4 separate regions of the Mus musculus genome follow, and regions 1, 2 and 4 are each reported to be linked to region 3. The links are microRNA targets in miRTarBase. Many come from high-throughput screens and were not tested one by one. Region 3 holds a microRNA gene; each other region holds the end of a gene's coding sequence.
Evidence for each region. Region 3 holds the annotated microRNA mmu-miR-344b-3p (CAUUUAGCCAAAGCCUGACUGU, at 2,437-2,458, shown strand). A microRNA usually pairs through its seed, bases 2 to 8, with sites in the 3' UTR of a target mRNA and lowers its output. Matches are read on the target gene's strand: a 7mer-m8 pairs with bases 2 to 8, a 7mer-A1 pairs with bases 2 to 7 and ends in A, and an 8mer does both.

Region 1 (4,000 bases), not on the chromosome of region 3:
GCCAGGTCCACGATTTTTCTCAGACCAAGACCGGTATCATGAAGAGGCTACGGGAGTATGGCTAGTAAATTGGGGATATATAGTGCCTTCCCTTCCGAGACAGTGAGTCCACCTCATCCCATAGTCCTGTGGCTGTCAGCTGTCTCCCTATCTGGACTGCCACAAACTGATCTGGAAAGCAGAAGAGCTGAGCCTTTAACCTTCCTAGCTCCTGGGTCCAAGAGAAGCAGGCCCACCCTAAATTGCTTTGCATTTCAAAAAGCCTGGAGAAAGAGACAGGCTTTTCATTTATCAGCACTGGAGTTTTTTAAAGCAATTTATATTTTCTTTTTCAGGTCGAAATAAGTAATGACATTGACTCTGAAATGCGGCTCCTGGACTTGAGTTAGGGAACAAAGCACCATTGGCCTCTAGCTCTGGGGATCCTACAGCGTCACCTTCCTCCTAGACAGCAGGACTGCGCCCCCTGCCGACCAGACCAGCGAACACGGAGCTGCGAGGTCTTTGGTCTCAGCCTGTGTAACATTAGCGTTGTTTGCTAGATGCGTTCTGGGTGCTTGGGTGGGTTTGTTTTTTTTGTTTTGTTTTGTTTTGTTTTGTTTTTAAAGTCATCTTCTTATATAAGCACTTGTAAATTGTAAAAAAAATGGTTTTAAATTGTTTTTAATTTAACTTGAGGCATGCAAAATGAAAAAAAAAAATCTATGAAAATCTTCTCCAAGTCATTTCTAAGAGGATTGTCTGTGTTATTGAGCTGTGACATCCAGGTTACTGGACCCTGAACCCTGCTAAGCTAATGGTTTTGTATACACAGACATTGCCTTTGGGCATCAGACACAAGGGTAGACCTGTGGCAGACTGCACAAAGACTGGATCTAACTTTCCAACCTAGCAAAGATCACTGTTTAAACAGCACCAGACACAGACAAAACATGAAGCCCTTTGTTCTGAATCTCTAAAGAGTGCACAATCTCTAAATAGTCCGATATAAATGTGCAGATCCGTGTATCTCTTGTCCTTGCAATGTTCCAAGACACACATGTATGTGCGTGTTTATATTATGACTGAGTACAAACCCAGAATGATGTGTGGAACCCTTCCTAGGCAGGGAGTTGGCTGGCTGTGAGCTTCGTATTTTCTGCTCTTAGTTTCACTCTCACCACTGATGTCAGACCTATACATACAGCTCAAGGGCTGTGGGACAGAAATCACAGCCATAAATCTGTAGTCAGGAACGTTTTGAATATTCAAAGGGGGCATTCAAATGCTATAGAATTCTCTATAGAGATCTGTAACAAAAATATTTATGCCTGAGTTACATCAGTTTTTCTTTCTTTTTCCCCATTCATCCCAATAATCAAGAAAATTAAGTGGAAAATCTAATTTTCTAAGGGGGAGAATAGGTCCATCTTGGAAAAAGTATTGCAATTCTGGGGCCTTTTAGATTCAAATGAAATATAGATATGGTGAAATGCATAGGTTTTTAAGGGTACAATGAGAAGTGCACAAACTTAATGAGCAGTGCTTCAACCAAAATACAGAACATGTCTGACCCTTTAGGAACCTTCCTTGGTCCCCTTTTCCATTGGTCTCCATGATGCCATTGATCCCCAACAAATACCACATTAGAAATTGCAGTGTGCTTGACTTAGTCTGCTGATGTAAACTGGTTTTGACCAAATACCTGGCCATTGTAAAGTGGCCAAGTAGATGGATAAAATCCATGTTGATTCTCACTGCTAAGGTTTAACTGCATCGCTGATGAACTGTCTGCTCACCGTATAAGGCAGGTATTTGTCTCACCACATTGTTTTCCTGTCTCTGCCTTAGTTCTCATGTGAAAAGCCATTCTGGTCCTTTTGTACACACACAAAAATTGAGTCTTCCCTTCATCACAGTTCTGTCTGTCCACTGTTTGCTCCAGAGTCAGTCCAGTGCAGCTCACATATCTCTAAGGCATCCATAAACCACTGAAATTGGTACAAAGTTTTGTATGCTTGTGGAAGTCTCTCTGTTCCCTCTTCTCCCTCTTATATGCATAGATTTCATGAGTCTGCTATCAGAATTTAATGCAATCCCCTCTGCCCTAATGCCTCGAAGTTCATGTACTAGGCTGTATCCTGTCCTTTAGCTGGTACTCCCACTGAGTTCTCTCCTACAGAATAAACCTAGATTCTAAATGACAGGGAGCTCTTGGAACCTGAAAGGTGGTGCCATCAAACTCCCATTTGAGGAGACCAGGGTTGTGGCAGGGTGTAGAAGAATAACACAAAGGCCATGTCTTGGCACCAAGTCTTTGCACTCATGACCAACCTGGCTCCAGGCACAGCCTTCTTTTGAATGAATGACTTACTCTTCCTTGGAGCAACCAGCTAAATTATGTGGAAATGCAAGAGCTAGGATGGCATCAGCTTATTTATGGGAACTTCCAATCATGTGCCAGCAAAAGTTAGGCAGAAAGATAAAAGGATTAGAGAACTCTCGGACATGAAGTGGCTTGAGCATGGAGCAGTCCATATCAGAGAAAAACTATATGAGTATGTTCTCCAATGATCTTAGCCTCCTTTTTACCACCATAGAAAGGGTGAGGGTGTGACCCTGAAACAAGAACATGTCTTCATACAACTCTAAACCTTGAATGTGGTTGGTTCACCTTTTTTTAGAAGATAACATGGCATCTTGTTCTAGCAATATATTGATGCATTTTCTTATCCCTTTGGTAAAACAAACCTCGCTGTTCCCATAAGCCCAAATAACAGAGGCAGCTATCTTTTAGTAGCTCAACCTGACAGGATATAGCAAAATGACTGGCTACCTGTTTCATCCAATGAACAGCCCTTTTCTGATAAGCGAAATTTGTCTACGTTAAAATCAACTGAAATGTGTGTTGTGAAGGCGAGAAAAAACATCATGACCGCTAAATGGAGGAGCAAGTAAAAACCAAAATTGCACTTTTTGTCTCTGAAAATTAGAATCTTGCCAAGATAAAACAGACTTTCATTTTTTTTTTTTACTTAATCTTAAATTTTATGTTCCCAAAATAGTCTCACTATGGAAAACAGAGATTCTGAGTGTGTGGTTTTTAAAGTAAATACTTATCACTTATGAGTCACTTTAATAAGGAATTCAGAAAAAAAAACTTTATAGGTTGATTAGAATTCAGGTGTTCTGATTTGACATTTTAGCCCAAACAATATACACTTTCTTTCAAGAGTTGGATGAATAAAGTAGGAAAAAATACAAATAACTGATGTGTTATGGACTGGCCATGGGCAGCTCAGATGAAACCAAGTCCAAGACAGATATTTCTACACTAATGAGCTAACTCCAGGGTGGCTTAATGTGTTCCTGAACTAGCCCCAAGCTGTGAGCAAAGCTACTGACCAATGAAATGTTTACAAACTTGGATTTTTGGAAAAGGCCCTTAGACCTGGCTTCTCTACTCTCTCCGTGGATACCCATCAGCAAGAAGAAATAAAAACTGGCTTCTGGTGTGGTCCTCGCTTCAGTGACTGTTGATCTTCTGACACCATTGTTGAGCTCACACATGCCCACTTGTCTTTTAAAGACTCGGAAACCTTAAATTTCCAAACTTACAAAACATATTTTCAATAAGCAAGTGGTCTATAACATTTTGAAGTCAAGGAGTCTTTTAAGTGTCCAGAAGTCAACTTTAAATATTTGTTATAAATAAGGCTACAAAATAAGAATATTTTATCCAAGAGCAAAACCAATGGAAAGCATTACTCCTTGTGTGATTAAGTAATGTGCCACTCAGAAAGGAAGTTGGTACATTTTAAACATCAGACAAATGTATTTATTAAGAAAATGAAATCTGAAAAGTGGAAGACTAGAAAAATTCACATTTTGTTTTGTGAGTGGTATCTCTTTTGCTCCTGAAGAGAGTTTAGAGAAAAGGCTATTTCTTCATGGTGGATAAACCTTCTTAAATCCTGGGATCTTTCAGGGAGTCAGCACCCACAGAGAATTAACCATTGCC
Region 2 (4,000 bases), not on the chromosome of region 3:
CCAGCCACTGGCTGGTAGGTTTGCCACTGCTGTACCAGTTGACACATTTGGCTTGCCCAGTTGGTAGTGTAGTGAGTCAGGCTGTTGACTACCATTCTCCCTGCAGCATCCTGCATGGCGCAGCGCCTCGCAATATGGAGGACTAGCCAATGGGGAAGAAACTTCCTTACCTACTTCAGTTTGGTTTCCCTATGTTCCACAATTGGAGCCTGTGATGTCTTTAGAGCTACAGTTCCATGGCCTGGCTCTGATGCCAGACAGTGACAGTGGCAGTGGCCTATATTATTCTAGGCCCCTGAATACCTCCATGACCAACAACTGTTCAAAGGGAGGTTAGATGACAAGGTAAAGAGCTTTGGGAAATTTTACAAATAATTTTACAGACCATAAAATGTAATGGCACACTGTAAGAACTTACTGGAGGGGCGGAGGGGATAGGGAGCTCACTGTGGGCTACGGGGGATTAGAGGGAAAGCCCACCCCTCTGCTCACACAGTTTCTTCTGCCCTCCCAGGTACCGTGTGGTGGTCTCCTACCCTCCACAGAGTGAAGCGGAGATCGAGCTAAAGGAAGGTGATATCGTCTTCGTGCACAAGAAGCATGAAGACGGCTGGTTCAAGGGGACACTGCAGCGGAATGGCCGCACAGGTCTCTTCCCAGGCAGCTTTGTGGAGAGCTTCTGAGGACCACTGCTCATGGCTAGCTTCTGTTGTCCTGGAGAGAGCAGAGGATGCCCGCCTTATCACCAAAGTCCGAGCGAGGTTCTTTCTAAAGCACCGGCCAGAAACAAGCCGATGATTCACGTGAAGTCCTTATTGGAAGCACACATGGGCCATGGCGTGTTTGTGAAGATAGGCCATATCCTCATGTGACATCCTACTGGAAGCACATGTGAGTGTCCTGCAAGACCACGCCATGAGTCTGAGTGAGCAGTAGCACAGAAAATGTTACCCACATGGACAAAGGCGCTGCTCTGTCACCCAGCGGCTAAAGCGTTATTGTGTAAGGTTGGGAGCCCGGGAGGGTATAGAGTTGGGCCATGTGCTAGGGCTGACAGCAAGAAGAGCATCTTCCCTGCCTGCCCTGGGTACCATTCCTCTATATACCTCTGTCACCTACCACCAGGCCTCACCGCCAGGGCATTCATGGTTCAGGAGCCTCATAGAAGGGCTGTGAGCCTCCCAAGGTGTCCAGTGGGGTCCTGTGGGGCACTGGAGCAGAACCCTCTTGTCTTTGTCTCCTACTGGGATAATGAGGTGCACCGTCCAGTTCCTCCGCCGCTGTCTTCACACTGCTTCCTTCTTACGGCACACCTTTTTAATGTACAACTCTTAGACTTTATATATTTCTAATAGGTCAGACGCTGCATATTTTTCATACATCTGGTGCTGATTTTTTGTAAAACCAACCTGGGTAAGTGTCAAGGGGGGAAAAAAAGAAGTAACATCAAAGGAAAGTTTTCTATATTTCCCAGATGAAGTTTGGAGCATATTGAGGAATTCCTATCTGTAATATCACAATGCTGGCTGGTGCTCCATGCAGCGAGAGGGAGGGTCTGTGGAGAGGGTGCATGGAGTCGGAGCGTCTTCCCAAACGGCTGGAAATAGCTAACCCACAAGCTCCATCTAGATGAGAGTGATTGCTATGACTAAAAAACTGGAAACAAATGAAGGAGTGGGTTCTGCCTTTGTGTGTGGCAGAAAATGCACATAGACAGACAGACAGACACATACACATATATACACACACAGACAGACAGACACACACACATATACACAGACAACACACACACTCACACAGACACACACACACACACAGACACACACACATACATAGACAACACACACACACTCACACATACACACACACAGACACACAGACACACACACAGACACACACTGACCCCAGAAGCTTCCTTTGATTGCTTTAAAGAGAATGACTAAAAATAGCATTCTGAAAGCACGTCTTTCTACCAAAATGCAGCTTTTACAACAGCTCAGATCCACTCTCTTGCAAAGGATTTTTTTTTCCTTTTCAAAAATAAATAGCTTGCCCTCTGAGGCCAGGCAAAACTCATCTGCTAGAGACCAAAGGTACAGTGATAACACAAGCCTGATGCTTGTCTATAGACTTACAGGGCCTGCAGACGCTGGAAAGGAATGAGGGCTGGTCTCTGACTCTGAGGCCTTACGTATATTCACTGTCACAACAGCTTGCTGCCCAGGAGGCTAGCCTGATGGCTATCAGGAGGTGTGAGTGTCACACTCTAAGAACACTTTTTTTTTTTCAAAAATTTCTCAAAAAAAATAGCAATTTGTGAGCCTCTGGGTACATTTTTATAAAATCATGCAGCCCTGTATCAAGTCTTTGGTAGCAGAGGCTATCACTGATTTTCATAATAAAATAAAGAGCACTTATGCTCAACGTTTCTGTCTGGGGATATGACTAACTAGTTGTGACTGCCGGGTGGCTACCACATGGATGTAATCACACCCAGACGGTCTCACCCTCCCCCAGGTGATAGCACCCTTATTGGACATAGAAAACTGTTGTGAGCCAAAGAGACGCTCTATCTCAGACATAGGGACCCCTGTATGCAGGCTCGGTGACAACCACATGATATCTACTCAGTGTCACTGCTAAATGACTTGCCCATCCATGCACAAAAGATCTAGGTATGGTTCCGTGCTGCCACCATGGAGGTAACACAGATCTACATCCTGGGTGAGGCATGTTTTCAGTGGAACCAGAGCTAACTCCAGATCCCAGACAATGAAGCAAGTCCCTTTCCCTTCTAAACAAGGTCAACTCTGAGTCAACAGAACAGACTTCACTTGGAACTGTCTTCCTTTCTTGCACTGGCTGCCTCGTGATAGAGGAAGTAGCAGCCTCACAGAAAGCAGAGGAAAGCATCAAGGTACCGTGGAAAACATCAGCTGAATCCTCTCCTAGCAAAGTTTACACTGCGACCAGCATGGGGAGGGAAGCAGGGCCCTGGGGCTCATTCTCAGGTGGGGCTTTTGAGACACACAATGAACCCCATGGTCTGAGTATTCTGAACACTCCCAAGCCCTTGAGCCTTCAAAAATCATGTTTTCCACAGCCAATGACAGAAAAGAGGTACCTTTCCTAAGGTCATCTTCCCTTGAGGACACACGTCTGTGGCACCAAAATGAAGCCAGCACCTCATCTAGAACCTTCACATTCCGTCCTGGCCAGCAGCATGTGCCCCTTACTCATACACTTGTATTTGGTGGCCACGTGGGTTTCACTCCTTAGTTCTCAGCCCTTCAGATAGACGGTCAGCAAGGAGACAGGACAGTCTAGCCTCCAGAGGACTGATGGATCTCGAGAGACAAGATGGTCCATAGTGAGGCGTAAATACAAGGCGGAGCACCCCAAAATCAGCCCAGTAGATGTGGAAGCCCTTGTACTTTGCACAACACACACCGAGACAGACAGACAGAAAGACACGTGCACACGTGTGCTCCCAACCCCACATATGTTTTTATTATACACCAATGTCAGTGTGTGATTTTAGATGAATTGACAGTAGTGGCCATCTCTGATGCCTGTGTTTCTGAGTCTTTAAATAAAGATGAACATGGAGAGGCTGTGTGTCTCAATAACGGGACCAATGCAGGTGGGGTAGGCGTGAGCCTGAGAGGTTGGGATTCAGGCCCTGGGGGGGGGGCACTGAACTGAGGGTGTTGGTTTAGTTGCTGGTCTATGGCTGTGAAGAGACACCATGACCAAGAGACGCTTGGGAGCTTGCTTAAAGCTTCAGAGTGGTAATCCCCAATCATTATGGTAGGAAGCGTGGCGGCAGGCAGGCAGGCAGGCAGGCAGGCAGGCAGGCAGGCAGGCAGGCAGGCAGGCAGGCAGGCAGGCAGGCAGGCATGGGACTGGAGCAGAAGCTGAGAGCTCAGTTGCAGGCAGAGAGCGAGGGAGACTGGACCTGGCATGGCTTATGACACCTCAGAGCCCATCCCCAATGATA
Region 3 (4,151 bases):
CATTTCATCCTAAAACAGAAATCATTTATAGTTGTAGACTTTAGATATTATCTGGTGGCCTTTTGCAAAGTCTATTTGATTCCTTTAGATTCTCCCTTCTAGCCTTCTGAGAGTGAACAAATATAGGGTCAGAACTGATGGTTAGTTGAGCTACAATAGAAACAAATGAGCAAACTGTAGCAGCAAGGCAAGCATTGCATTACTGAGAAAACATCAGAGGAAGAAGTTTTGTGACTCTTAGAATGATGCATCCATAGGAATAGCTGATAACATTTAGGGTATGATGATATAGAGATAGATACCAAGCTGAAAGTGTCAGGGAGAGATAAAGCAAAGGAGAAAATTAAAGAGTTGGTGTTTTTCCATTTATGGTGAGTACAGCGTTAATCAAGTCTGAGTAATTTCATAATAGCTTTGCAAAACAGAGAACATTAAAAATAATTTATGACTCCAAATATATTGTTTTAGTCTGCTAACAATCTACTTGCTTTAAAGAGTCCAGTTTAAAATATTAATTATCCATAGTGCTATCAGTGCTGAAACTTGATTTCACAACTTGTTTTGAAATCTGTCCCTGCTACCTGAATGAAGTTAGCATATGAAATTAAACTGACTATTCATCATAAGAATAGAGGGATTTATACAGCTGATCAATATAGAAAAGGATTATTGCAAGCAACTCATATTCTTCTGATATTTCATCTAAAAAATACAACCCTTGAAAAGTTAAATATCAGAAAAAATAATTTGAAAAGTTCTGTTCTTAGAATGAGACTGTGTTGTCTACCAATGAAATAATAAAACAATTAAGTTAAACATATTGAACTTACAAGTTTGTTCATATGTCAGATATGGTTTTATTTATCTTATTCAGTTGTTAAATTTTCATTGATAACTATTGTTTATTCAAGAACTATAGAAGAATTCTTCATAATCTGTTTTCGTATTCAGGATAGCATTTTCACATCATTTTGTGAATACTATTGTAGCTTTCTTAGAGGGATTACACTGCCTTCTTTACAAAATTTTGCAGCAGTTACTGCTGAAACATTTATATACATATTAATTTTGGGGTTATAGTTCAAGCTATGCATGTGTTGTATTTATCCCTGTGTTGTTCTTGTAATATATGCCATAGATTTCTGTTAAAATCTCACTGTGCTGCCCATTGTGATCCAAAATTTATCAGTAAAGCTATGCTTCCCCTCAGCATCATAAGAATCTCCCAAATGCAGATGCAGTCCACTACACCCAGCTGATGGTCTTGTAAAACAACCTGCTTCCTGACATTTGTATTTTATTTTACATTGCTTTTCTATAAAAGTCTATTGAAAATTTATGTTTTCTTATTTCGTACTGGTTTGTTAAAATTATGATTAGAGGTAAACATATTTTTTCTAACTCACGATTTTTTTGTGTAAATGATTATGCCCTTTTCAATTTTGAAAACTATCTATCAAAAGCCAAACATATTTAAAAAACAGGAATGCCTAGTACTTATTTTGCCTAATGACTACACTAATGATGCCTTCCAAGATAATGCCCAAAGGATATGGCAACTATTGATGTCCTTGGATTATTTTAAATTTCAGGTATAATGTGGCTTTTAGAACCTGCATTTGTAGTATTTCCAACTAAGATTATGAAATTTCATTTTGTAACTCATACCTGAATGTTTTTGTCCTGATCAAAAAGGTAGATAGGAATTCATATTTTTCCTCTGTATATTTTGATGAACATATAGAACATGCATGTTAGAAACCTTTCTTTCAAAAATACAAAAATGTCCTAAATTATTTCTCTATCATTATGACTCAGAGATATTCAATGTTAAATAAGTAGATTTAGACTATGGCTTGTGAAGAACATTTCTATTTACATTTTAAGCACCCTTATATAGGTCATTATAATAGACATAAATATATTATATAATCATGCAGATCATCATGGAATTTGGGGAAAAGGAAAAGGCAGATGAGAAAGAATCAGCAGACAGCTTCACTTGGTAGCCCAGAGTCAAATAATGAGAATGCAAACAGAAATGGATTTTTTCTTGTAGATCGTCAGGATCTATGATAAAATAATGAGGTACATGATCAGCCCTCAAGCAGCACTGGCTGATTTTGTCTGTTATCAATTGGAGGCAGAGCTGAGAACAATTTTTTTCCTGTTTTTTTCCCTTTCTATCTCCTTGCTTCTACTGTAACACCCAGGGGGAAACTAGAGGTACATGAATCAGCATGTCTGATGGAGATCTCCATGGTGACTGCAGGCACTTCCTAGGTTTGAGATCTCTTCTCTCATTGGCTCTTATCATTCTCTATTTGAATATACGTACTTCTGATTGGAGAATCAGAAGCAACTAGAGAAAATAAAATTCTCTGCAGCCAGGATTTTCATCAGTCAGGCTCCTGGCTAAAGTTCAGCTTTCAGCTGCATTTAGCCAAAGCCTGACTGTAAGCTGCTCCAGACAAGGATGGTTGCTTCTGAAACCAGGAGATAGAGGCAACAGAACCCCAGCATAATCAGGTGTATGGTAGGATTCCCTGCACTCCTGTGCTGAGTCACCTGTACCTGTTTACTATGAAGGAAATGTAATTAAGCCTCTAAGTTGTTTTCCTCGGTTTAAGATGTGTCATAGCTTCGTCAGCCTTAAGGAAAAGGATGATGATTCATTTTGCGCATCACTTTCTGGCAGGTATCAGGGATATGCCGTTCCTTTCTCTCCCTTGTGGAAGACACTGTGCTGAATTGCTCTGGCAGGGTCTGTTTTTAAGTGGCACCATGATATGCTCTGAGAGCTTCAAGATGTAACATTTGAAGACACTAGAATATCTCTCACCCAAGGACCACTTGGGCAGATAAGTATAATACTTGTGATCTTACTTCCTATTATCCTGCTGCTATCAGAGGTCTTAGAGATTCAATTTTTTCTTTTAATGAACTAATTAATTTTAAACTCCAGATTTTATTCCCCTTTTCCACCCTCTCACTAATCCACATCCCATACCTTCTCTCCTCCTTCCCCACCCCGTCTCCATAAGGATGTCCCCATCCACCACCCCAAAAATACCAGACCTCTGAAATCCCTGGGGCCTCCAGTCTCTTGAGGGTTAGGTCCAGCTTCTCTGACTAAACCCAGACCCAGCAGTCCTGTACTGTATATGTGTTGGGGGCCTCATATCAGCTGGTGGCATGCTGCCTGGTTCTTGGTCCAGTATCTGAGAGATCTTCAGGATCTAGGTTAATTGAAACTGCTGTTCCTCCTACAGGATCACCCTCTTCCTCAACTTCTTCCACCTTCCCCCTAACTCAACCACAGGAGTCAGCAGCTTCTGTCCATTGGTTGGGTACAAATATCTGCATATGACTCTTTCAGCTGCTGTTGGGTGTTTCAAAGGGCAGTCATGATATGTCCCTTTTTGTGAGCACTCCATTGCCTCTGTAATAGTGTTAGGTCTTAGAGCCCCCTCTTGAGCTGGATCCCACTTTGAGCCTATCACTGGATCTTCTTTTCATCAAGCTCCTCTCCACTCCCATCCGTGTAGTTCTTTCACACAGGTACAATTATGGGTCAGAATTTGTGACTGTGGGATGGCAATCCCATCCCTCACGTGATGCCCTATCTTTCTGCTGGAGATAGGCTCTACAAGTTTCCTCTCCCCACAATAGGGCATTTCATCTAAGGTCCCTCTCCTTGAGTCCTGAGAGTGTCTTGTCTCCTAGGTCTCTGGTACATTCTGTAGGGTTCCCCAACTTCCTACCTCCCGAGGTTGATTGTTTCGATTCTTTCTGCTTGCCCACAGGGATTTCAGTCCTTTTCACCCATCCACTACCTGTTCATGTTCCCCTCTCCTCCCCTCTTTCCCTTTCCCCACCCCATGTCCCTCCCTCCCCTCTTGTGGTTGCTTTCTTCTCCCTCCCAAGTATGACTGAGGCATCCTCACTTGGACCCTTCAGCTTGTTGACCTTTTTTTAGTTCTGTAGTCTGTATCTTGGATTTTCAGCACTATTTTTTTTTGCTAATATCACTTATTAGTAAGTATATACTATGCATGTCCTTTTGGGTCTGAGTTACATCACTCAGGTTGATATTTACTAGTTCCATCCATTTGCCTGCAAAACTGAGGATATCATCATTCTTAATGGCT
Region 4 (4,000 bases), not on the chromosome of region 3:
GAGAAATGAGGCTCAACAGGCAGGGAGAGGCCAGATCATCCAAGCAAAGGAAATTAGCAAAGCTATGTGTCCAGGCTCTTCCACTCCGCAGCCTAGTTATTGAAGAATTTTGAACAAAAGGGTCCCATAATCCAGTAGGTATGATATGAATTTTAAAAAAGGCTAAGAATATTGTGGTTGTTTCCTTTTTGTTTATACATTACAAAAATGGCAAACATCCCTGTGGTATTGACTTTGTAAGACCCTCCTTGTAATTGAATTCAGTGACAGCAAAAGCATTATTTTCATTGAATGATTCCTGAATGATACATCAGAATTATAATAACAGGGCCTTCATAGACTGTGATATAATCCTTGAAGGAGAAGATGAAGTTATGAAAGACACTCTGTCTCTAATGGAAATTTGTCTGGGTGTCCTCAGTGAATGAGATGGTTTATGTAGGACACATCGTTGAGATTCTTGGAGAAACACACACACACAGACACACACACACACACAGACACACACACACAGACACACACACACACACATACACACACACACACATACACACACACACACACACGGAAAAGTTTTCCACTCCACATTTTTATTAGCTCTTTCAGCAAAGCAGTGGATAGATGTGCTAGAAATAAAATTCATTTGCATTTTGCACAATTTTTTATAATTTCAGGCGTTAAGCATCTGAAAGACCAGAATGGATCAGCGTTCCCGGAAGAAGAAGAAAGTGCAAGTGAAAGAGAAGAGAAGTGGAACCATTAATTACCCATCGGTAGCAAGAGGGCTTCTTGGAAATAACTGGACTGTGTACTCTTCTGAATATCCATTGGTACTCCAAAGCTCCGCCTCCAGCATCCTCTTCTGTCTCACCCCCCACCCCCACAGCAGTGTGATCCCCATGGAAGCCCCCTTGACTGAACTGTGAAACCGAGTGCAGATTGCTGTGTACCACTTGCAGTAAAGAATAGGCACTTACTTTACCCCAACTTTTCTTTTCAACTCATCACACCTAGGAATCTGCTGCCACATGAATGTTCTCACTTTGATACTGCCAAAGCTTAAGTCCTCCTGGCCTACGACATAATTTACATTCTAAGGTCAAATGTAGAGAGCATTACAAAATAAATAGCAAATGTGTGTGGGACGAGTGTGAGTGGGGATTAATGGAAGACGGGCATCTGCGGAGGCTCCTAAGTAATAACCGCACTTAGCAAGCTTCTGTGCCCTACATCAGACCCCAGTTTACCTCAAGGAGACAGTGATAGGCAGACATCTGTTGTCTGGCTTCAAAACACCACATCAGATGTTACATGATTTCCATCCAGCAGTTACTTAAAGAAACAAATGTCCCTTTATTTTCTAAGCCATTCAATGTTGGCTTCTCAGCATCATCTAGTTATTGGAAAGGAAATGTTAAATTTGTAAGTAAACATAGCCATTCTCTTCTGCCTTTTCTTTATTATTATTTTTTAACTATTTAAAACGAAGCCATCTATATTGTATCACTTTTGTTTGTCTGGGTTTTTCATTGTTTCTTTCTGTTTTATTGGTGCTAGAGAATGAACCCAGGGCTTTGTATATGCAAATATTCCTCAGTCTTATTGCAGTTTAATATATCCTGACTGTTTTATTCTTCTTCTCTGTGATAGAATAAAAAGAAATATCTCAAAAACTCAGCCATAGACTCACCCATTAATTCGACAACTACTTTTTGTGGAGTTAAAAAAAAATCGCTGTTATTTGGAGATTAGTATTACAACATTCCATCTTTCCCTTTCTCAGTAAACCTTTCTACCCCTCAGCCCTTTTCAAAGTTGTCGCCTCTCTTTTCATTAACTGTTGTAACATACATATCAAAAATGATTTTAAATGTTTTTTCCTAGGAAATTACTCTTTTGGAAGCCATAAAGATAAAGGAAAGCTTATTTTCTCTCTGGAGATAGGGCTACAGCAAGGTTTTGTATGACAATGGGTATTTGTCAGTATGACTTTAACTTAGATTTCTGGCCATTGGGTAATTTTAATTATTCATGATATAGGAATGCACAATTTAGTGGAGATAGATAGTTTTGTTTCTACACTGTTGGTTTTAATGAGATTCAAATATTTCATAGATGTAAAGAAATATCCATCCAAAGCCATTAAAGCAAGGGGTTGGTGATAGGTCAGTGGGTAAGAACGCCTGTCACCAACTGATAGGTTAGTAGATCCCTGAAACCCACAGGCAGGAGGAGAGAATCAATTGTTTCTTACTTCATGAGATGTATTGTATGCCTCTCACTTTTACTACACACCTTAGAATGTGGGACACACACACACACACACACACACACACACACACACACTAAATAATCATAAAAAATCCACTAAGAGAAAATTAAGAAGGGAAGGAAAAATTAAAATGTGAAATTTACTATAAAATCTTAAAGTGCAAATCCAAAAGAATAAGATTTTTTTTTAATTTAAAATTTTATAATGTAGCAAATAAGAGTTTATGTGAAATTATTAACAAATGCAGTAGAAATGAGTTTCACTCAGTGAGAAGCATCCCAAGACTGGATGTTATTGCCCAGTGTCTATCCTGTCCTCTATCTGTCTTCCTCTTCCTCCTCTTTTTCCTCCTTGTTTCCTCTTTCTCTCTTTTCTCTATGTTGTCCTTGATAAATCAATAAACCATTAGAGTCTATTGCCACCTGCCGTGACTATTTTTCTTCCCAAATTCTTCTCTACTGTGAACATCATTAAGGTTCATATTTCTTGTAAATGTGTTTGAGTTTTTTGTTTCAAAACATTCCTGACACCCTTTGAGAGTGTTTGAGACTCCCTGGGGTGCAAACAAAATAATAGTCACCTTTTCCCTTTCCTTGAATATACACTTTTATAAGTGCACCCCTCCCCCACCTTAGGTAAACAGGAAGGATCCAAAGCTCCCCCTGATATCATATTATCATTTTAGGACATGTGCAGCCTGACTTTTGAGCTGCTTTCTTTTCCTCTCTGTTGTTAATGGTATCAAACCATGAGATGCATGTTTTCCTGGGGGAATGTTGTTTCTTCTGTTCCTTGGTCCACTCTCAAAACAAATCAATTACAGTTTAAAGTTTTTCTTGGGAAATGTGTGTCATTCTTGCATAATTGAAGGAGACTGGAGCTGAGATAGTGGGCTCTCAATTTCCTTTTCACACAGTTACAGTCTACATTGAAAGCCTGTTCCCACAAGGAGACAGTATGGCTTTAGTTTGGTTGAACAGGCAAAGAAACTGACTGACGCAGACCCCTTCAAATTCTGTATTTGCCAAACCTCATTCATAAGATGTTATGATGGTTAATAGACAGGCTTTGAGTCACCCCATCTACGATTCAAATTCAACCTCTATCAAGTCTTAGTCTCAGTTTTCCAAATCTCCATTTGCAAAATAAGTTTATTCAATTTGAACCTTCATTGTTTTTGAGACTTATATGATGAGCTATGAAATGCTTAGATTAGCCAAGTGGGCACTGCTACCATGGCTAGAAAAGATTCTGAAAACGTATGTGAAAATTTCACCTACTGTGTGAATTTACCTACTGTGTGATCCTCACCTACTGTGTGATCCTCACCTACTGTATGAACTCACCTACTGTGTGATCCTCACCTATTGTATGAACTCACCTACTGCGTGATCCTCACCTACTAGTCTTTTGGGGCCTGCACACAGGGCCTGCACAGGTCTGCACCAGTCCTCTGTATATGTATTATAGCTACTAGTCTTTTGGACTGTGGGTTCTAGAGATCAGCTCTCACTCACTCTCTAGCAACTCTGCCCCTGTATCAACTCATCAATGAAACTAGCATCGCCGTGCTAGACTGGCTAGCCTATGTGCCCCTGCATGGTCCCGTTTCTTCTTTACTGAAGACTCTAGCATCCCTCTATCTCCTCTTCTATGCCAGCCCTCATGCATCAGGAAACCACCTCCCAGACAATTTCTTCTCTTAGGTCAAATATCATCATTTCCCCC

Region 1: miRTarBase lists Nkain3 as a target of mmu-miR-344b-3p. Seed matches in the 3' UTR shown: 7mer-A1 at 974-980, 7mer-m8 at 2,372-2,378 and 7mer-m8 at 2,917-2,923.
Region 2: the mRNA of Sh3rf3 is a reported target of mmu-miR-344b-3p. Seed matches in the 3' UTR shown: 7mer-m8 at 2,639-2,645.
Region 4: the mRNA of Ppp1r1c is a reported target of mmu-miR-344b-3p. Seed matches in the 3' UTR shown: 7mer-A1 at 2,346-2,352.

The regions. Positions count from the first base shown.
Region 1 is chr4:20,118,992-20,122,991 of GRCm38, reverse strand. Nkain3 (Na+/K+ transporting ATPase interacting 3) reads left to right here. Exons shown (of 6, transcript NM_001290410.1): 6 at 336-4,000. The coding sequence ends at 349. Among named protein-coding and RNA genes, the nearest start is that of Ggh, 79 kb to the right of the region's middle.
Region 2 is chr10:59,135,306-59,139,305 of GRCm38, forward strand. It overlaps Sh3rf3 (SH3 domain containing ring finger 3), which reads left to right. Exons shown (of 10, transcript NM_172788.3): 10 at 515-3,611. The coding sequence ends at 683. Among named protein-coding and RNA genes, the nearest start is that of Gm23223, 58 kb to the right of the region's middle.
Region 3 is chr7:61,788,829-61,792,979 of GRCm38, reverse strand. Mir344b (microRNA 344b) reads left to right here and starts at 2,399; the gene lies at 2,399-2,461. The region is part of intron 6 of A230057D06Rik (RIKEN cDNA A230057D06 gene); the gene reads left to right.
Region 4 is chr2:79,807,628-79,811,627 of GRCm38, forward strand. It overlaps Ppp1r1c (protein phosphatase 1, regulatory inhibitor subunit 1C), which reads left to right. Exons shown (of 5, transcript NM_172420.4): 5 at 675-3,113. The coding sequence ends at 763. Among named protein-coding and RNA genes, the nearest start is that of Ppp1r1c, 100 kb to the left of the region's middle.